Linked DNA regions of Caenorhabditis elegans. The protein of the gene in region 3 purifies or fractionates together with the protein of the main gene of each other region. This does not show direct contact. Each region holds a gene or a part of one and is shown on either strand. Other genes may lie near its edges.

Region 1 (5,484 bases), on a different chromosome or scaffold from region 3:
TGATGTTTGGTGCAAGTGCGCTTTCCCCTTTCGCCTCGACCCTCTCGTCCTCTCTCCCGGCCAGCCAGCCGGAGCGACGCGGTCGCGTCGCGTGTCCTTCTTGTTTCTCACGCATACACACACACACACACACACACTCTCTATGTCTCTCGATACTCTCTGCACGGCGATGTGCTGACGAAGGCCCCCTTTTTTCTTCTTCTTCGCGTTTACCGCCGGGGGTGGTTTTTTATTTGGATTTTGAATTTTTTTTGTGCACCATCGCTATCGATAGTGATAACGATTATATCGTGATCGTTTTTTTGTGGTTTAGTTGAATATATAGTTTAGAAAGAGCAAACAATTTGATTAGAAAGTTCTAAGGTTAATTCATTTCAATTTATTTCGAAAGCCGATTTTATTTGAAATGGGTAGAAATTAATGTTTTTTAAGCGGAGATTTAGTTTTAAATCATATAAATTATGGGGTTTAGTTTATTTCAAGTAATGTTACAAACTGTATTAAAATACATGCTTTTATGTATTTTAATACAGTTGTGACGTAATTACTTGAATAACCCCATTAGTTTTTAGTTTATCGTTAATGTTTTATTATAGAAGCTGATTTAAATGTAATACTTCCTTACTAGTTACTTTTAATCATTGAATGAGTAAAATTACTTTATTTACTAATTTAAATAGTTACTAACAAATCGTGATAAGTATCTTTGCTAATAAGTTTAATTTATAAAAAATAAGAATTTGAAAGCCTCGTCTTGTTCAAAAAATAATTCCGCTGTCACTATTCATTATCACGTTAATATTTACGATATATAGACTTTTCTATATTTTTCAGATTTTCTTGAAGAAAATTTGCAAAGTTTGCGAAATATTTTAAATTCTCGTTAGTAACTTAATTAAACGATTTTTTTTTTCATTTATCGACTCAGATTAACCGAAATTATAGTTTGGGAAGAATTTCGAATGTAACTATTATTTTTGAGCTTAGAATTAAGAAATTATTATAATTAACACTAGTATAGAAAAAAATTAAGCTTCTTCACTTTTGACGTAGTAAAAATATAATTACACCACCTTTTTAAAGTTGGTGCGTTAATAATGAGTACGTTTAATAATTTAATTTAAATTCTTCGTTATTATCAAAAATATATAAACTGACATGTGAAACGTGGCTTATTTTTTTTGCTTTGTTTTTTATTTGAGCTCCTCCCATTTTTTTAAAATGAACTAATAAATTAAAATTTCAACGAAAGGAAAAATAAAAAATAAGCCACGTTTCACATGTCAGTTTATATATTTTGATAATAGAGTACAATTAAATTAAATCAATAATAATTATTATTATAGAGGACTTTTAAATATATTGAAATATAATTTCCTAGCATATTTCGAAAAAGTGTCATATTTCTCTCCGAATGCTCGTATTGTTTATAGAACACAAATTCTCGTAAACCTTTTTTTTTTGTTGCGATTTCCGCATTCCGTCCTTATTACTTCTGATTAGACTATAACTAAATTAACAATAGAATATAGAAATCCGAATATAGCTATTATTTATGAACTTACCTTGTTTAATTTCACCTTTGACGTATTATTAATAAGTTATTAAAATAATTTGCGTTCATAAATAATGTTTTTAACTCAATAAGTTAAGATTTTCATGAATAAAACAAGTGCTCCATTATAGCTTATGGGATTATTCGAGTAGTGTCGCGGAAAATTGAAAAAGTGTAGAAAAATGACATCACAGCTGCTTAATTAAAATACATAAAAACATGTATTTTAATAATTTTTTTACAACATTACTTGAATAACCCCATTAGTTAAATTACGAAAATCAGAAATCCTTTTAATCAAAAGTTATAACGAGCATGATTTAATTAACTCTATAGTTATTAATTCAGTTTATTAAATTGCCCTTTATAGTGTTTAAGAACTATGTTTTAAATTGAGAAATCGATTTTTTTTTTGGGAAAATTTAATTTATTCGTGTTTAACTCCGAATTCGTCATAGCCATAGGCTTAATTAAAATGGAATGTATCTCGAATCTATTTTAATTCTGATTCTCCTGAATATTCCTGCAAGCAATAGCTTTTTGGCCGGAAATTTTAATACGTTAAAGTTGTGCTACCAGCGTTTTCTTTCAATTTATATGGATTTTCATCGAAATTGTGCCAAATTTGTCTATTTTTCACCGAAAAATCCCTATTTTTTCTCAAATTTTCCTAGATTTTCCGCATTTCTTCTCCGATTTACTCTAAAAAATTTTCCAAATTTCAGACCCAAATTTGCGCCAACACAGAAAAAAAACAAAACCGAACAACAATTTTGCACTTTGAACGACAATTTTGAAGGAAGAATGATTGCACATTAAGAAGAAGAACATCAAAAAAAAAAAATCTCCAAACAAAATTGTCTGAAAGTGATATAAAATATGAGAAGCACCACTTTTGATAAGGTTTGTTTCGAAGGAAAAAAAATCCCAAAAAATTATCGATTTTTGCAGAACTCTGGTGCTCCTGAAGAGCCGAGACGTCCGCGTGGACCGAGAACACCTGTAAGTAGCTCGAAAAAATTTTTTTTGACCACTTCCGGGGGTCGAACCCCGGAGGTGTGGGTTCCAGTCGGGCCCCTAACCGACTGAGCAACTTGCACACCCAAAAAAAAATTTCGAAAAAAAAACTGAAATCGATTTGAAATTTTGCGTAGATTTCGAATGTGTCATCAAATTTTAGTTTGGAAAATGCTGAAAACCTCTCATTATCGAAATTTATCAGTTTTGGAGTCAAAAAAGTCTAAAAAACTTGATTGTCTAATCAAATACCCAATTTATTTTGTGATGAAACACGGAAAACACTCTACAAAAAATAATGACCACAGCTGGGGGTCGAACCCCAAACATTTGGGTGCCAGCCGGGCCACTAACCGACTGAGCCACTTTTGCACCAAAAAAAATTGTTTTTTTCAACAAAAAAAAAAGAATTCGATCTGAATTTTTCCGTAGGTTTCGAATTTGAAACCAAATTTTAGTTTTTATAAGGCCGAAAACCTCTAATTCTCGTAATTTCTCAGTTTTAGAGCAAAAAATGCCTAAAAATCGACGACTTTTGGACTTGAAAGAACATAGTTTCACCGGAAATCTCGATAGAAATACGAAGTTTTGATGTAGAAATGCCAAAAAAACTCTACAAAAATTATGAGCCACAGTGGGGGTCGAACCCCGGACGTGTGGGTGCCAGTCGGGCCCCTAACCGACTGAGCCACTTGTGCACCCAAAAAAAAATTTTTTTTTGTTGAAAAATTACCATTCGAACTGAAATTTGACGATAAATTCGAAAATTTTGTTAATTTTTGTATTTGAGAACACAGTGAAAACCCAATTTTCGACATAAAACCGCAAAAAAAAATCGATTTTTACAGGACGGAGAACCCACAGAAGCCAACGAAAGGCCGTGCTCGTCGAGCTCATCACTGAGCAATGATTCGTTTGTTCCAGCACCACAAGGACCTCAGAAGTAGGCGATTTTTTTTTGGTTTTTCGGCTGAAAATTGGCCTAAATTTTTGAAGCTGAAATTTGACCTATTTTCTGACATTTTTCTTTAGAAAATTCCAATTTTCACCCAAAAATAGCTGAAAATCTCTGGAAATTATTATTTTGAAAAAAAATTCCCCAATTTTCAGCGGACACACGAGCAGCAGCCATGACAATGATTATAGTGAATACCGCCCACGCCGTGGGCCTAAAACTCCGCCTCTTCCACCGCCGGATGAGCCTGTAAAACAGCAGCAACAGCAGCAGCCAATTGTTGCTCCATATTCCTATTATCCAACGTGAGCATTTTCTTTTTTAAAATTTCGAAAAAAAATTTTTTTTTGGTAAAAGTTTTTTTTTTGACGAAAAAACTTAAATTTTTTTTTCGTATTTTCACTGAAAATTTGAATTTTAGGCGAAAACTTGAAAAAAGTTCAAAATTATTTTTTTTGCTTTGGGGAGCAAGTGGCTCAGTCGGTTAGCGGTCCGACTGGCACCCACCCGTCCGGGGTTCGACCCCCGACAGTGGTCATTAATTTTTGTAGAGTCTTTTTTGGTGTTTCTAATGCTTTTTAAGCTCTTTTACGCAGTTTTTATACTTTTTTTCTAAAAAAATTCCAAAATTTCACTTAAATTTTGAATTTTCAAAAATTCAAAAATTCCAACAAAAAAAAATTTTTTTTCAAAAATTATTTTCCTGAAAGTATTTTAAGCACCACTCTTCCGCAATTTTCACAAATTTTTCCATAAAAAATTTGAAATTTCACGTAAATTTTGAATTTTAAGCCAATATTTTTTGGGGGTCTTCAAATTTAGAGCTCTAAAATTCCCAATGTTTTCAGATACGGCAGCTCTACAGGATATCCGTATCCGTATCCGACGATGATGATGCCACAACAAGGAATTCCTGGTAATTATTGATTTTTGCAGTACTTTAACGATTTTGGAGCATGAAAACTAGGCGTTTTTTGGTTTTTTCGGCCTGAAATTGAGCCTCTAAAACTGAGGATTTTGACACAATTCATCTAAAAATTTGAAATTTTCAGAATTTTTCTAGTTAAAACTATTGAAATTGAGCTTAAGCCCGAAAATCTAGTTGAAAAATTGACATTTTTCTCATGTTTAAGCTAAAAAACCACCGAAAATCTCAATTTTTGTCATAAATCAGTTGGAAAAATTCGCATTTCTGCGATTTTTCCCAACTTTAAAGCCCTTTACAGTCATAAAAATTGGATTATTCGACCAAAAAATTTCGAAAAATCGAAAATTTCCAGCTAACGAGCCTGAAAATCCTTAGAAAAATCCGATTTCTTCAGGCTTTTCAAGCCTAAACCTAAAGCCTAAAAAGAACCTTCAAGCCTAAAAAAAAGAGAAGCTTCCAATTTTCAGGCCCTTCCCAACATCCGGCGACACCATCCTACTACATCCAACATCCACCACCACCATCAATGTCCAACGGCGCCCCATACTATCCACACATGAATCCATCGCCGTACTATCAACCTCGTCCGAACTATGTCACTCAACCACCTGCACCCATCATTCCACCACCACAACCACCAGTGATGACTGCCTCGGCGGCTGCGGCTGCCTACCGCGATCGCCTACCTCCACCGCCTCCGAAGCCTCCGATGCCTGATCTAAGGACCAAAGAGCCAATCGGAATCCGTAGCTGGAATGGATCAGGCATCCCACCTCCGCCGATCCTTCCACCAGTTGCTTGTCTATCGTCGACGATGTCACCCGGGATGCTGAGATCCCCAGTGCCGAGAGAACGATTCAATAGTGTGGAGAGTAATGGATCTTTTAGCCTTCATCCACCACCACCAGTGCCACCACCCGCGAAGAAGCCACTGAACATGGATGTTCGGGAGTTGCTCAACGGAGCTCATCAGACAACTGTGGAGAGTGTGAAGAAGGATCCACCAGCACCACAACCACGACCTCGTCC
Region 2 (8,333 bases), on a different chromosome or scaffold from region 3:
CTTGAGATAAAGCCATCTTCCTCCATCGATTTTTTACAGATGTTTAAAAATAATTATTGAGGCAGGTGAAAATTTCCCAACACAATATCATTCTTTCTAACCGCATTTTTCCAGTTTTTCTTATTTATTTACATATAGATGACCTCAATTCTTCGAAAAGTGGAATGGGTTCGAGTAGCAGGGAAATGGACGAAAATGTCCGTCATGGGGTTGGATATTTCAGACGAAACGCTGAAAATTCAGAAGAAAAAGGAGAACGAGAATCGAGTGATTATTTTAATGATTCCAGGTAAATCGGGAAATTGCGCTTTTAAAAATTTAAGAAAATTTTAATTTCAGGAAATCCCGGAAACGAAGGATTCTACGCTCATTTCGGACGAGAAGTTTTGCAAAATTTGATAAAGAAAGATGAAGATGAGCAGAAAAACTTGAAAAATCAATATTTATTCTACACAGTTTCAAGTCTCAATCATGTTCGAATGCCAGATCATTTGAAAGATGATGGAGAACATCGAAATCATGGTAATAAATACAAATAAAACGAAGAACCGTTCACTCCAGCCTTTTAACTTATTTAGTTTCGCCGATTTCGCAGTATTTTTCGCCCTTTTGTTTTTTTTTCAAATACCTAACGAGACTCATGGATCCGGTGCGGAGCGCGTTTTTACGTCGATTATAATATATTTCCAGACCGAATTTCTCTGGAGGAACAAGTCAATCACAAACTATCATTTGTGAAAGAGCACCTGCCACGTGGAAAGCAACTGTACATTTTGGGGCATAGCATTGGTTCGTATATGATGTTAAGAATCATTCCTGAAGTGATAAAAGAAGGATTCCACGTGGAAAAAGCTGTTGGACTGTTTCCAACGATAGTTCATATGGCAAACTCACCAAATGGGAAACGATTACATGGAACTTTAGCTGTAAATTCAATTTCTTTATTTTAATTTTTAATTGTAAACTTTCAGACATTGAACCATCATGATTGGCTCACAAAAACGATTTGCTGGTGGGTGGATTACCTGCCAAACTCGATCAAAAAATTTCTTGTTGGATTGAACCTGAGACATCCTAATGTAAATTTTTTTTTGAATGTCAAGCAACAAAAAACATAATTTTTCAGACTCCCCCAGAGATCGTCGATGCGGCAGTTGAGCTTGTCCATATGGATGTGTTCAGAAATATAGTTCACATGTCAAACGATGAACTTGATATCGTTTTAGACCTAGATGAGCGTCTTTTGGAAAAACAAGACGTGGTTCATTTCTATTATGGCCTCAAGGATGGATGGTGTCCAGTGCAGCATGGTATTGACCTTGAAAACGTTGTGTAGATTGAAAATAAAATTTATAGGATACTCCATGCGGGACAGACTTGGTGAGGAGCAGGTCACATTGGACGAAGACAATTGTGAACACGCTTTTGTTATTTCTGAAGGAGACATTATGGCGAGAAATGTTATAAAATATTTCGATTGATCAGTTGCTCCGAGTTTTCCGTACTTCAACCTGTGATTGCATTACCTAGAATTTTATCTTTTAATAAATATAAAAATATTTGCACATTTTATTGTTTTTCCTTTTCTATGTGTTTGTTTCTAACACCTGTTAATATTTCTTCAATTGATTAATTGATTTTATTTAAGTATTTAACAGGAGCTCTAGTTATTACTGCCAGGATTAAGTGGTGACGAAACAAACTTTATTGCTCTCTACTGAATTCTAGTCTACTTAGGCTTAGTAAACATTAAAAAACCCCTTTTCAATTCCGAAAGTTCCGTTTTTAAATAAAAAATAAATAAAACGGCGCGAAAGCATGTGCGCTCTAATGCAAATTTGAAATCGAAGAGAGCGAAACAGCAGATTGGCGTGCTCTAGTCGTTTCAGTCATTACCTCGTTCTTTTGTTTCTTTGGAAACTGTTTTATACACGAGTCTTTAAATGTTTAAAAAGATATTTTGTAATTTTCCATTTTTGGGACATATACAGATCATTTGTCGCCCCGGTATTTTCACTATCAGTGGAAATGCAGAGAATAACAAGATATTTTAACAATTCGACATGTGTTATTCTTTTTCTGAATGTCTATCTTTTTGTTAATTCATTTCAATTTTCAAATTTTCAGTAACCCACCCCTCTCATGCCACCGAAGAAGCGAATTCGCGGGCCGAAGTTGCCAGCACTTCGTGAGGAAAAATCAACTGGTACAGATGTGGCTTCAGATGAATCATTCAACGAAAGTGCTGATTTTTTGAATAATGAAGAATTAAACAATGATCAAAACGATGCGGAAAATACAGTTTTGAGCGAAGGTGTATCCACTCTTAGAATCAATGAAAACATGACAAAAGAGGATCGAGCTTGTATTTCTGCAGCACTTTTCATAAAGTAAGTATCAAAATGAAAAAAAAAACTAAAGTATTTTATAGAAAAAGAGTCGTAGAATCAATTCGAACAGTTTTTCAATCTCGTGATGATATTAATGATGAAATACATACCAGTTCGCGGAAACTGATTGCAGCATTTAAAAAGGTTAATTTATTTTAAAAATCGAAATAAAAATAATTTTAAAAATTATCCAATTTTCAGGCTGATCAGAATCGTAAGAAAAAGGTCGATTTAATGAAAGTTTTCCTTGATGAAATAGATGTCCGACTTTCAATGATTATCGAAGAGGTGACTGTTCCTGAGCATCGGGCTCGTGTCTTTAAATTAATCGCAGTGACAATAACTGAAATTCAAGCTTTCAAGCTTCCATCGGATCTCCTCGATTTTATTATCAATTTTATTAACACTGTGAGTATTCAATTTAATAAAAATCCGCATAATAAAACTTATTTTCAGTGGGGACATAGTGATAATGTTGCTGCGAGAATTAACACGACCTGCTTCATCAGTTATATATTCGAGACAGGGAAACGATATTTAACAACTGAGGGTGAATATTCTGGATTTGAAGTCAAGATTGCAGCTAAAATGTTTTTACAATTGAAGAGAGCACTGCTTGACAAGGAGGTTTGTTTCATTCAAAAGTTGATTCAATTCTGAAAAGCTGAAATTGAACTTTTTTCAGCAAACCGCCAGAGTTCCAGCTATTCGAGGCCTAGGATTCTTGCAAGAAATACCAATTCCATCGAATTGGCCAGTAGATGCTATGAAACATTCACCAAGAGAACGTAAGTTTTCAAACTTTTATAAAGGCGCACTAAATGAAGCAGCCGTAGAATTCAAAATTAAACTACCATATATTTTTTGGATCAAAGCACAAAAAAATTTATGGTAGTTTAATTTTGAATTTTGCGGCTGCTTCATTGTTTTTTCCTTGCATTTTACTGTTCAAAGTTGTTGAAAATCAGTTTTTTAATCCTTTTCACAGGAAAAACAAACATTTTAAATGAAAAATTCATACGTATTTTGAAACTTGGCCCATATAAAGAAATCCGTGCGCCTAGCATGCCAAGGTGTTGTGAAATTACTATACAATACCAGCGTTTGTTCTTTTTAAATTACAAATTTCAGTTCTTCTCCGTTCCTGTAGAGACACAGCATGGGAATGCCGACTTGTTGCAGTTCAATCAATGGTACCATTAGAAACAGATGTTAGACTACTTTCAGACATTGTCTATTATGACAAGTGTCTCAATGTTCGTGTCGCAGCACTTGAACAGTTTTCAAACCTCAGGCCAAACAAACATGTTCGCGAAAAAATTGAAATGCTTGATTTATGCCTGAAAGACCATGAAGGTTTGTTTGTAATTTATGACTAATGATATTAAATTGTAATTTTCCAGTAAATATTCGAGATGCGGCAAAGGAAGTTCTGAAGAATTGGGTTCGTAATTTGTCAACGAGATGGAGCGAAAGTCAAAAGAGCAAAGATTCCAATGATGTTGTCATTTTGAATTCTAATTCTGAATCCACAACAGGAGAAGAGAATAAAATGAAAGGATATATTCTTGCGGCCCAAGCACTTACATTGCTATGGCTAACGGGTGCTCTTGAAACATTGGAAGGTCACTCAAACTTGAGACGATTGATAACTCATACACTTGATGTTATTCGTCAAATGTACGTCTGTCAAGCGGATCCGATTAACACATTCGCAGAGGTTTTAATTAGCGATTTGAGAGAAAAAATGAAGTCAAGTGCGGTGCCGATTATTACTAAAAGTACTGTTGGATCAATTTTAGATGACAGCGAGCTTGCTGATACGTGAGTTTCTTGCTGGATTCATGGTTTTTTGCAGCAAGATTATCATTTTCAGACAAGATCCAAGCACCAATCGAGCCATGATCTTCTTTTGGAGATGTCTTGTTGATTATATTTCCGATAGAAAACGGAATGATGCTGATAAGATAAACGCCATGTCACGTTTCGTCAGTCCATTGCGCACTATGGTAGAGCATGTGGAAAAGTATGATTTTCTTACTATTTGTTTTATAAGAGTAACAATTAATTTTATTTTTCAGAATTCTCGTTCGAGTCAAGAATCTGGATGTTTATCCGAACATTAGCCAAAGAGCAGACTACGAGGATCACACTTTCGTTCTGCAAATGTCAATTGTTGAGAATATAATATGTGTGATGAGACATGCACCAACAGATCAACCTGGAGTTGATGCATACAAGCAAATGTTAATTTCAATGTTGATGAATGTGTTCTATCAGAAAAAAGTGATTGATCTCATCGTTCAAGAACTCGCACAATTTTACAAAGAAGATCCGAATGCACTGTTCACATTGTTTAATGATAGAATTGAAGAAATGAGATCGAAATATAAAAGTGGACAGTTTCCAGTTATTGAAAATAGTGTACCCGTTGGAGAGACAAAGGTTCGAAAAGATTTAGAAGAGGAAACACGCAAAACCGGCCGACGAACAATTTCAGACAAAGATGTAAGATTTTATATAGATTATTTAATTTTCAAAATTTGAAAATGTTTCAGGGAATCGCAGTTATTGATCTCTACGAGTTGAAAGTATTGAATGCTTTATTGAAAACTGGAATTTTACTTGGATGGAGTACAACCTATCAGAATAGATACAACAACAAGCTTCGCGAGGGTATTTCATCGAAAGATTTGAGTACTCGTGTTCTCTGTACTGAATGTATTGGTATTGGTGCAATCTATGATTATGATCAAGCAGAAAATACTCTTCGTGAAATGATGAAGAGCTTTAACACCCAAGATGAACCAGTTCAGTGTTCATTAATTGCTGCGCTCACTGATATTCAAATTGAGCATGGCGATCAAGTTGACGCTCTGTTCAGCTGGAATTCAAAGCAACCCAATTTTGCAGTATTTCTATCGGATATTGTTGTCAATGCACATGTTTCAGGAGAATGTGAAACCATGTTAAGAGCAGTTGAAGCAATTTCAAGACTCTTCTTGAATACAAAAATTGACCCGAATCAACAAAAATGGCAACGTACAATGGTTACACTTATGACTCGAGCTTCATACGCGATCACTAATCGCTTCTCCGCTAAAGTTCGCAGTACGATCATTGTGATGCTCAAATTCTTCTGCTCTATCAACAAGTAAGCTTGGCTTCTCATTTCCTGGGAAACTGATGAAAAAAATTAAAAAGTTATTTTCAGAAACAATCAACTTCTTCTCATTAAATCATTCCACAATTTCTTCGATATGTGGGCCAACTCTACGACACCCGAACGGTTGACTGAAAATCGCCATGAAATGGTTACAAAGCTTAAAAGATGTGCAGCCACTTTTGTTGCATTGACTCGTCATTCCACGCTTCCATTGGAAGAACAGAAGAAGGTATGCCGATCAGAGTTGAATCCGATAATTTATTTTTAGTGCGAAAAATAAGCGAAAATCTCGCAAGTCTAAAACTTTTTTGTTGAAAATTGAAAGGATTGTGCACAAAAAAATTTCGAATATTTTTCCTCCTGCCTTTTTTCAAAGTTTTAAGTTTTAAACAGTTTTTTTGGAGCAAAAATATATTTTCTAATCCAGAAAATACATTTTTTAAAGAAAACAATTTAAAAAAAAAACGACATCACTGTGCGCCGCGTCCAAAACACCAAAAAATCCCGAAATTTTTTCCGTCAGTTTTCAGTGCAATTTTCAAAAAAAAAATCAAATTTGGGGATTTTTTTGCGTTTTGGACACGGAATCACAATTCCTAGTGCCATTTTTCGAAAAAAAAGGTGTAAACTTTTACAATTGTATGAGGTTTTTAGTTAACGACAGGTTAACGACAAAAAATCGATTTTAAAAAACTCGAAAAAAACGAAAACCTAAAAATTTTCAGTTGTGCTACCGATAAATAGTTATGAATGATTTAATTTTCAGTGTAAACCAACACACGTCGACCTTGTGGATGACATATTTCACGAAATGGCTGGAGCTCCTGATTCAACATCTGTCGATTATTATATTTGTGCTCTTAACTTCGTGGAATATCAGAGTCTCAGTAGATCAGCTCTCACAAAAATTCATGGAGATTTAGAATCGTATATATTTGTAAGTATATACCAAATAATTATAAATTATTCTAATTTGAAAACATTCAATTTTTAGCTCCACGAATTAGACGGTGACAAGCATCGATACAACGAACTTCGAAAGGCTCATAGAAAGATAGCGAAAATTCTCGGATTGAACGAAGATGAAATTGAAGAAGTGCCAAGCAAAACTGACTTAAGAAAAGAAGCAGCGCCGTCCAAAACCAACAAAAGAAATGCGAACTTGATCAGCACGGATATCGCAGTTGATAATGATGTGAATATGGAAGAAGATGATAAGCCTGGCCCATCAAGACCCGCTACTGTTAGAAAACCGAGAGCTCCACGAGCAACTCCAGCGTCTGCCACGAAAAAGAAACCTTTAGTTGAAGAGGATGCGTTGGAGATTTTGAAAAGTCCACCCAGAAATACTAAAAGTGAGTTTGAACAGATCGCTTCAGTATTTGGTTTTTCATAACGGACTGAATATTTTCAGAACCACCATCCCGTCCAACTACAGCTACCCGTCCAACTGCAGTTGCAGCTCGCACAGCACCTCCAAGAAGTGCACGTAAACTGAGAAGTGAAAAATGAGAAATTAATAATTTAAATTGACTTGTGCTTTTCGATCTCGTTATTTATTACCACTTACATTTTAACCTTTTTTTCCTCGAACACGTTTCCCAATTTTTATGAATTTAAATAACTTTACCTTTTCCGCCATATTTCTTAATTCTCTAATTTCATTTCCTAGAAATTATTTATTCGACTATACAAACCACCCAACAATAATGCAAAATTCTCCACTTGGTCTCTTCATATTCATCATCATTATTACCCTACATGCAACTAAGGCATTCGATGTAAAGTTTTCTTTTGTAATTCGTTAACTTCCACAGAAAATTCTTAATTCTATCAAATAAATTCGTAGATTTCAATCGAACACCCTTCTGGACATGGCACTTACTATCGATTCTTGTTCATTTACGCATCAATCTCGGGGCTGATGATGGTTGTTTTAGTAATTTCGGCGATTATCTCGATGTGCAGAAGATACAAATTGGTGGCTAGTCAAGAGGATGAGGTAAAACATTAAAAATTGATTTTTTCCAGATATAAATATATTTACAGATTTCGGAGCTCCAGTGATGAGCATGTAAATTTAACTTTCTACTGAAAACTCTTAATTTTTCGAATAAATATCAATACGTTAAAAAATGAATTTTCGCTGCGAGACCCGTTGTGACAAACTGGTGCACCTTTAATACCTGTTTCAAGTACAATCGGAAAGTTTATAATAATTTATTATTATTTATGATTCTAATAGAAATTTTGGTGAAAATATGAAAAAAAAAGTGAGAAGCTTACACGTGTGATCAATACCACGCGGGGATCGGGGATGGAGGGGAAAAGATATGGAAATTTCTAGTGAAAATAATATCTAAATGGGCACAAAATTGAGTTACAGGGAGCAAATGTGTGGGGGAAGGCACTTTTGAGAAGAGGAATTTTTTTTGGGAAAAACATTTGAAACAAAAAAAACTGAAAAATATAGGAAAATCATGTACAAAATATGAAAAAAAAAACGTATCACAGAGTGGAGAATCAGAGAAGTTTTGATTAGAATACGAGAGAAAGAGAATTAGACATCAGAAACTTCTGAATCTGGATCATAAAGTGGATTGTCTACTCGTAGAGGATCAGCTTTCTCCTTTTTGGGTCGAGCTGGAATTGGTGGCTTCGAGATTTCCGCTTTTGGGACTGCAAATAGAAATTATTATACTTCAGATATTCGTTTAATTTACTTTAATCTATTGTGATCTACAAAAAATGCGGGAATTGAGACACATCGTTTTTAA
Region 3 (8,643 bases):
TCCTATGAATGTTCCTACATCTGTTTTGAAAAGTGAACAAATTCTAAGAAAGTAACTATAAAAACGGGGAAAAAAAATCAAATAGGCACAGTTTTTAGTGTTTCCGTCTTATGAAAAATACCTCTAATCATTTCCGGCAAATCTGATATCCGGCAAACGGAAAACCGGAAAATTGCCGAAAATGAAAATATCCGGAAAATCGGAAAACCGCCATTTTGTCGGAATTGAAAATTTCGTTTTACATCCAAATCCGTTTTACATCAAATTATACCCCTGTTTCTTCTTCTACAGTTCCCCTCCATTTTTTCGATTGCAGACTTTCTAGAAGTTTACATGGTTTGTGACTCTGTAATATGCTCATCTGAACCGTATGTTGGCAGATGTTCTTGCTCACAAGACCATCCGTTGTTTGATCTCTCATTTCCCACCATTAGAAGACCCGTTGTTGGCTGCAACATCAAAAACGAAATCCTCAATTACACGCAACTAACTGCTCAAATTATAAGCTTATCTATCATCTCAACAGAGGAGATCAGCTCATATTCTTCTCTCACACACCTCTTCTACCCATCACAAGATGGAGTCGTGCCAGCCCGTACCAGTGTGCTTGTTACCTAGGCGACCTGAGAAGTACAAAATAATCATCCGTCTCTTGTTTCTCACACCTTGTTAAAACTAGTCAGTTTTATACTTTTGTCTTCTGACTTCAATTCTCTTCTATTCTCTTCTTCATTAAGGATGCCCGGATCAACTGGTGCAATGGATTTGACGGAGCAAGACACGGGTAATCGCAGACAGTAATGCCTATCAGGACTTTAACTACTTGTTCTATTATAGACGAAGTTCAATAGAGATCGTACAGACACATAAATTGACAAAATTTTTGGCTCATTTCCTTCATGCTTCCATCTGGATTCACATACATATCTAATATAAAATTTCAAGTTTCACTCATCGTGTTAAACTACTTCTTATCAATAAAATCTAGTGATTTTTTTTCAATATTATACATATAAAAACCTCTCGGTTTTTTGGGGACCTCTTCAGCTGAAAACTCGTATACTTTTCCCAAAGCGTGATCGTTGATCGACTATCTGTAGCATATCGATTTGTACATCTAGTAATGGGAAACGTTTGCCAAATTTTCAAATAATTAGAATCTTTATCTCTCCAGCTCCTTAGTCTGGTACACCCAACCTTCTTCGCAACAATATTCCGCTCATCACCCACCCACCCATTGCTATGGATTCTCTCCGTCTCTTATTCCACTATTCTTTCTCTCACCCGAATCGTCTTGACCGCAGTCGGAGTCTGTCATTTCTCTCAGTCTCCACGTTCTCCATGCTCTTTTCCACTTTCACCTTCGTTCTCTTTCGTCGTCTGCCTCTAACCCCACACTCGGTCAGCAGTAGTAACAGCTCGCACACACAGACACAGACATACGCTTGCGCGCGCGCAATGAAATGGGTGTGTGCTCGTGTGTGACCGTTTCTTAACTTTTTTTTTGAATTTGACAAATAAATTAATTAGCGCAGCTTTCATAATCTTAAATCTTAAAAAAATTAACAAACTTATATATAGTTTCCAATGTTATCTGTGCCCTGATTTTCCTAAAGTCCGGAAAAAAAATTCGTTTGAATTATCGATTTGAATTTTTCCCCAACATTAAAAATTTAGTTTTCAATATTTGAGGTGAAATCATACTGATAACTATATAATATACTATAACATTAATAAATTTCTAGATGACTTTTTTCAATGTTATCAATTTGTAAACTGTGTGATTCAATTTTAAATATGAAATATATATTTCAAAATTTTTTGATTAGGTAATGTTGGCAATTGGCATTCAAAGAAATTTTGTCAGTTGATAATTACCAAAAAAATTTGATTGGAAGGGGTCGAAAGTTTGCCAGTTGTCAAAACATTTCCAAAGCTTTGCCTTTTTGGCAAAATTATGCACCTCTTACTCTCCCTCTCCCTTTTAATATTTATCAAAATTAATTCCTTTTTTCAGGTATGCAGCCGTTTAAAAGACGGGCGCTAACCTCGGACGATGATAGACCATATGCTGACACCGACTCGATGCCTGAAGTCGATCTCGACGTGGATCGCCGACGACAGTACATGGAACAGCTCAACATATTCGATGATGTTAGTTCAGGCGCGTATATGTTGGAACTTGAAGCGGCTGAAAACGGTGTGAAATATGATGAAAAAGAGGATCTTTTGAATGTTCAAATTCCCCCAAAATATGAAGATCAGATCTCGGATCCGGATGGAAATCGAATGATAATTCTGAATATCTACGTTGAGAACTTTAAAAGTTATGCTGGAAAACATATTCTCGGACCGTTTCACAAGAACTTGACAATGATCCTGGGACCAAATGGAAGTGGAAAGTCAAACGTTATTGATGCATTGCTATTCGTGTTTGGATTTAAAGTGAGTTTTTTAAATTGAAATTTTTATTCCACAATATACATTGTTTCAGGCTGGAAAAATTCGTACCAAGAAGCTATCAGCATTGATCAATTCAGGAGGGAACTACGAATCATGTTCAGTAACAATTATGTTCCAGATGGTGAAGGATATGGTAAGTAGGTTATTAAAGCGGGCCTGAGATCCACACGATTGAAAACAAACTAATAACTATCAATATCAAAATTAATTTTCAGCCTGTCGAAAATTACGATAAATATGAAGTGTTAACAGATAATTGCGTCTGCATCACCCGCACAATAAATCGTGAAAACAATTCAAAATATCGTATTGATGACAAAGATGCATCGCAAAAAGACGTCCAGGAGCTTCTCCTACGTGCTGGAATTGATATGACCCATAATCGATTCCTGATTCTGCAAGGAGAAGTTGAAGCGATTGCACTAATGAAGCCAACATCCAAAAATCCGAATGAAGAAGGAATGCTTGAATATATTGAGGATATTGTTGGAACCAATCGTTTTGTCGCACCAATTTCCAAACTAATGCATCGGGTTTCTCTATTGGAGCACAAAAGTTCACAATATGGAGCCTCGTAAGTTCATTTTAATATTATTAAATACCACAAATTTTGGCACGGATGTACCACATAAAAATATAAAGCATGGAAATTCAAATTGAACTAGGAAAAAACAAAAAAACTTTGCGGTTTCAACTTGAAATATATTAATTTTCTGAAACTTAAAAAAATTTCAAATTAAAATTCTTTCCATTTCCAGTGTTCGCCGCCACGAGGGACACCTAAAAGTCTTTGAAAAGGCAATGGTTATCGGGATGGCCTACCTGAATACCTTCAATAATCTCAACTACCTTCGTGGAATCCGTGTCAAGCACAATTTGTGCCGTTATGCTGAAACAATGAGGGACGCCAAAATGAGTCTTGTCACTCGAACAGGAGAACTCGAAGAGAACAAGGATATCATGCTTGAGGCAAAGGATGAAGTTCGGAAGAAGGAGACTCACGAGAGAAGCCTTAATAGTATTGTCACTGAGCTGGAGAATAAAAGAATCGATTGGCAATCGAAGAAGAATGACTGGCATGCACGTGATGCTAAGAGAAAGCAGGGGCTCAAGTCGTGTACTCAGGACCTTGGGAAGCTCATGAAGGAGCGGGATGAAGCTCGTCGGGAGAAGTTTGAAATTGAGACGGCTCCAGAGAATGCGAGAATCTCTAAGCAAAACATGCAACTCGAATGGGATCAGCTCAAGGAGCAGGAGAATGTGTGTCAGCGGACAGCTACAGAGAATCTCATCAAGTATGATCAGAAGTCTAGTGCCGACAGAGCGAAGCATGATGATCTGGAGAAAAAACTCTCAGATGAGCTTCTGCAATCGATGCGAGCAAAAGCAGAATTGGACGTTTCTGAATCAGAACTTAAGGATATGACGATAATGATGGAGCAGGGACAGAAGAGAGTTGATGAGCTTAAAGGGACATTGCAAACAATGATGGCTGAGAACATTAGAGATAATACGTAAGTTTTATTTTATTTTATTTTATTTTAACCAGCTTTTAAAAATTCCCCATATCCTTCCAGTGAGCTAAACGCCGTCACAACTGAGCTGCAAGATAGAAAGCTGAAGTTTGACAAAGCTGTCGAGAAGCTTCCGCATTTGAAGTCTACCGAACAACTTTTGAGAAGCAAGAAGTATGAGCTGGATCAAGAAGTGATTGAAGCATCGAACACCCAGGAAGTTACGTACCGTCATCAGGCAACCGCAAAGCTTCATGAACTGAAAGAGGCTGGATTATTTCCGGGCTTCAAAGGTCGCTTGGTAAGTTATTCGATTGGGAGTGAGTACCTGCTTTGAAATTTGATTAGCTGTGAGCATCCTGGGGTAATCTGATGTTCCATGTAAGTATGATTTTTCTGGGAGAAATACATTTTAAATAGGATCTTTCAAATTCAGAAGCCACACGTTTAGTCTGATTTCGAATTGATTTTTTTTCGAGGACCAATTTAAAATTAATTGTCTTACAGGGAGATTTGGCAAGTATCCCAATCAAGTTCGACACCGCAATTTCAACAGTGTTCTTTGCACAATTGGATTACCACGTTGTGCAAACTAGCGATGAATGTAGAATCGGAATTGGCTTCTGCCACGAGTACAAACTTCCTCGTACGACGTTTGTCTTCTTGGATCACTTGAAAGATACTGATACTAGCGGAATGGATTCTACAATGAAATTGTTGGTAGTTGCCTTTAGTTGCCAAATCTAATTAATTCTTATTTTCAGCCCAGCCGAACGACTTTTCGATAAGATTCACTGTGTAAACCCTGAGATTCGCCGCGAATTCTATTTCTTGATCCATGACATTCTGGTTGTTGACAGTCTTGAAGAAGCAACTCGAATTGATAAGAAGTATCCTGGAAGGCATCGTTATTGCACACTGAATGGCTCAATTTTGAACCGAAGTGGAGCATTGACTGGTGGTGGAAAACCGACGACTGGTCGTATTCGAAATGATAATAATCCAAACATGAGTGGAGTCAAAAAAGTTGATTTGAGCAAGCTAAGAGCCGCACAGGAGAAGCACAATCACGCACTGGAAGCTCATTTGAAGTTGCAGTTAAAGCAAGAAGAGATCCGAGCCGACAATGGTCCGATTATCAAACAGCTCGAGATTCGTAAGCGTGAATTGATTATGTCCACCAAGGAGCAGAAAACACGGATTGCCGAGTTAAAGGTGATTTATTTTTGCGTCTCTTACTGAAACACAGAAATTTTCGCTGTTCCGATTTTCTTGAAAATGGATATATCGAAAAAAAAACTAGATTTTATTCAAAATTTCCATTCTAATTTTTTAATTATTTCCAGAGCTCAATCGCAGCACATGAGCGCCGTATGGTTAACTATAGAGAAGTGACCGTTGAGGATTTGGACGAGAAGAGAGCTCAAATTGCAGATCTGAAACGTCAAGTGGAGGAGAGCCAAAAGTCTTCAGCAAAAATCAAGCAGCAAATTGAGCAATACAAACGGAAAATGGACCGAATGTTTATGGAGTTGGTCCAAAAAAATAAGGACTCAATTGAGCAGGCGAAGGATCGAATGGGACAGCTGGAGCAGGACATTGCACGACAAACTGCAATTATTGAGAACAATCCATCACATTTGGAGCAGGCCGAGAAGAAGCTTAGTGAGCTGGAGCATATGTGTCTGGAGAAACGTAGCGAGGCAGATGCATTGGCTCAATTGGAAGTTGGAGAGGATGTAAAGGGAATTGATATTATCAATGCGCAATTGCAAACTTCAACGGTATGTTTAATTTCTATAGGACTAGGATTCTGGTTAGGCTTATGTTTAGGCTTCGACTTCAGTTCAAGCTTAGGTCCAGGCTTAGGTTCTGGCTTGAGCTCCAACTTAGGCTTTTTTTAGGCTTAGGCTTTAGCTTGGTGTTTCCAACCTTGCTCCCTTAGTTCTAGTAAACATTTTCGATTTTTTTTCAAAATTTTAAACCACTATTCAAACAATTTTTGCGCTTTTTTAAGCAGTCTCCTTATGAAGTTCGCCATTTTCGAGCTATTCAGAATTTACCAATTCAAGCTTTACTATTTTCTAATTTTTAATCTTCCAGGCCAGCATTGATGCACAAAGAGCCAGGTACACTGAAGCGGTTGCGGCACGCCGAGAAGCAGATGCAGCCTATCAAACCACAGTTGACAACTACAACATGGTCAAACAGACTTATGATGAACTGATGAGAATCATTGATGACTTGGAAAACAAGACAATGGCGGATAATGCAGAACTTGATATTATTGAATCTGCATGGATGCAACCGGAAAAGCTCTATCCACCTGGCAAATTTGTCAGATATAATGATCCAGATATTGCGGCCAAAATGACTGATGGGTACGTTTCAGAAGCTTTGGGAGATTTTCCATGTGCAAATTCAAATTTATAATCACTGAGTTTTTAGGCACGTTGTACTCCCATATGAATGCATCAGTATGATCGAACCTCACCGTGAAGCTTACGAAGAGCACGAAGCGAGAATGCTTGAGGACGATGTTTTCGAGGACACTGCTAACAAGATTTGCAAGCTGGAAAAAGATGTTGACAAGTTCCGGCGGGAATTTGATAATAAAGGTGTTCGGGATTATGCGATGATTGTGTCGCTTCTCATGAACGAGGTGACGTCAGCGAAGAAGTTTAGCGATAAGCTGAAGGCTCATCGTGAGAAGCTCAACGAGTTGAGAATGGCGAGATTCAACGAGTTCAGCGAGGCGCTCGCATTCTTGGGTACTACTACCCAAATGCTTTACCAGGTGAGTAAGGGGTACTTGCCTGCTACCAGGCTGACAGGAAGCATTTTTTCTGTCAGACCCATTGCTTTAAATGAGATTAAAAGAAACAAGTTATTTGCTTACAGCTTATCACCAATGGCGGAGATGCTAGTTTGAAGTTTGTGGAAGAAGGAAAATCTACCGATCCCTTCGATGGTGGAATAAAGTTCAGTGTACGTCCCGCCAAGAAATCCTGGAAGCTCATCGAGAATCTATCTGGCGGAGAGAAGACTCTGGCCTCTTTATGCTTTGTCTTTGCAATGCACCACTACCGTCCAACACCCCTCTACGTGATGGATGAAATCGATGCGGCACTGGACTTGAACAATGTCAGCCTGATTGCAAACTATATCAAGCATTCCGAGCGAACACGGAACGCTCAATTTATCATAATTTCGCTTCGAAATCAAATGTTCGAGGTCGGAAATCGCTTGCTTGGTATCTATAAAATCGATGGAAAAACTTATAACATTATGGTGGATCCGATCGCGGTGGAGATCAAGAATCGTCCGATTTTGAAGATTTTCGAGGAGGAGATCAAACGGCGCGAGAAGCTACGACGTGCCGAGATTGAACCGGAAATTGATTTGAGTAATGGGCTCAGCAATGTCGTTATTGCACCAAAACGTAAGTAATAATTAGTGACATATCAACTGCACTTTAATTGTAAAATACCAAATCAAAGTAGCAACCAGTCCAACTTAAACCCATCTCAACAAATACCAATTTTCAGGTAAACAACGCCGGCTGGAAATGCTGAAACTCTCGGACTTTGGTCTCGATGATGACAGTGATCTTCCTGAATTTAATAGATTCCCACCCGCAACTCGTCGTGAATTAAGTGTTGAGGATTCAGATGAAGACGATGAGCCAGTAAGAAGACGTCCGCGTCGTCAAGTTGAAGAGGAAGATGAAGAGGATGAATTGATCGAAGAAGCAACTCCATCTCCACCACCAATTGTCGTTCAACGCCGTGTGCGAAGAAGCAGACATTAAATTGAAGTAATATATTTTAAACTAAATTTTGAAAAAAAAAAGAAAACTTTGTGAAAAATCCAAAAAATGAGACCAACTTTCTTTCAAGCTTGTATTTTTTAATATTCGTCTAGCTTAATTTTTCCTTGTGATTTTAATTATTTCCCTTTTTAATATATTTCCATTTTGTTGTATATTTTGTGAAACCCCTATATCTTTGCATCACGTACTGTCCAATCTATCTCATTTTCTTAATTCGCTGACAAGGTAAATTTTCGATTCACGATTCACAAAAATAATTATTTCATTTTTATTTTAGAACTACATTGCAAAGTTTTTCCTAAAAAAAATAATGCCATCAAAAAATAATTTCCTAACAAAGAAAATTTCCTAAAATTTCGAAAGCTGCTAAAAATTTGACTAAAAATTTTGGACAATCTGTTAAAAAACAGGATCTTTTATTTTGATATATACATAGTTATTTTAATCCTTTTTGGTAGACCTTAACAAATTTTTTGAAAATATTGTTAGTTGGGAAATTTGTTAAAACCACTCAAATGTTTGTTAAAAAAACCATGTATAATATTGCAACTTATATATTTTTACAAAAAAAATTTTGAAAATTTTTATATGCAATGTGAATATGCGGTTTCAAAAATGCTCGAAATTTTGTAAAAAAATCCAAAAGTTCGGAAAATTTTGCAATTTACCAAAACTTTGACTAAAAGTTTTGAGATAATCTAAAAACTTTTGGAGTCGTTTTTTAGATACTTTCCCTATTTAAGTTTTTTTTTGACAAAATCCTGATCTGCGCTTTGATACTTTCCAACTTTTACAGAAAGAGTGTTTTTGTAGATATTGGGTTGCTGTTGCTTG

The links.
Region 1: the proteins of dpy-27 (region 3) and dpy-21 purify together in Caenorhabditis elegans (affinity purification with western blotting, with the first as the bait; one study listed by BioGRID). This does not show direct contact.
Region 2: the proteins of dpy-27 (region 3) and capg-1 purify together in Caenorhabditis elegans (affinity purification with western blotting; one study listed by BioGRID). This does not show direct contact.

What each region holds. Positions count from the first base shown.
Region 1 is NC_003283.11:17,945,979-17,951,462, reverse strand, and holds the start of dpy-21 (Lysine-specific demethylase 9), read left to right. Parts: upstream 1-2,269; 5' UTR 2,270-2,434; coding exon 2,435-2,458; intron 2,459-2,506; coding exon 2,507-2,557; intron 2,558-3,420; coding exon 3,421-3,515; intron 3,516-3,682; coding exon 3,683-3,832; intron 3,833-4,375; coding exon 4,376-4,443; intron 4,444-4,922; coding exon 4,923-5,484. UniProt on the Caenorhabditis elegans protein: Histone demethylase that specifically demethylates dimethylated 'Lys-20' of histone H4 (H4K20me2), thereby modulating the chromosome architecture. Promotes chromatin compaction by converting H4k20me2 to H4K20me1 leading to transcriptional repression.
Region 2 is NC_003279.8:7,633,573-7,641,905, reverse strand, and holds capg-1 (Condensin complex subunit capg-1), read left to right. Parts: upstream 1-2,120; 5' UTR 2,121-2,142; coding exon 2,143-2,390; intron 2,391-2,431; coding exon 2,432-2,534; intron 2,535-2,591; coding exon 2,592-2,798; intron 2,799-2,846; coding exon 2,847-3,017; intron 3,018-3,075; coding exon 3,076-3,178; intron 3,179-3,521; coding exon 3,522-3,746; intron 3,747-3,793; coding exon 3,794-4,214; intron 4,215-4,266; coding exon 4,267-4,416; intron 4,417-4,471; coding exon 4,472-4,898; intron 4,899-4,948; coding exon 4,949-5,544; intron 5,545-5,604; coding exon 5,605-5,785; intron 5,786-6,322; coding exon 6,323-6,493; intron 6,494-6,550; coding exon 6,551-6,911; intron 6,912-6,970; coding exon 6,971-7,068; 3' UTR 7,069-7,414; downstream 7,415-8,333. Other genes in the region: F26A3.1 (Lipid droplet-associated hydrolase), read left to right, coding at 139-289, 340-522, 691-926, 972-1,079, 1,127-1,310, 1,357-1,481; lrp-1 (Low-density lipoprotein receptor-related protein), read right to left, coding at 8,117-8,235.
Region 3 is NC_003281.10:3,813,054-3,821,696, reverse strand, and holds dpy-27 (Chromosome condensation protein dpy-27), read left to right. Parts: upstream 1-2,017; 5' UTR 2,018-2,019; coding exon 2,020-2,445; intron 2,446-2,494; coding exon 2,495-2,596; intron 2,597-2,678; coding exon 2,679-3,037; intron 3,038-3,221; coding exon 3,222-3,977; intron 3,978-4,040; coding exon 4,041-4,278; intron 4,279-4,484; coding exon 4,485-4,693; intron 4,694-4,741; coding exon 4,742-5,192; intron 5,193-5,323; coding exon 5,324-5,761; intron 5,762-6,080; coding exon 6,081-6,358; intron 6,359-6,425; coding exon 6,426-6,774; intron 6,775-6,878; coding exon 6,879-7,419; intron 7,420-7,525; coding exon 7,526-7,788; 3' UTR 7,789-8,053; downstream 8,054-8,643. UniProt on the Caenorhabditis elegans protein: Central component of the condensin I-like dosage compensation complex that associates specifically with hermaphrodite X chromosomes to reduce their gene transcription throughout development.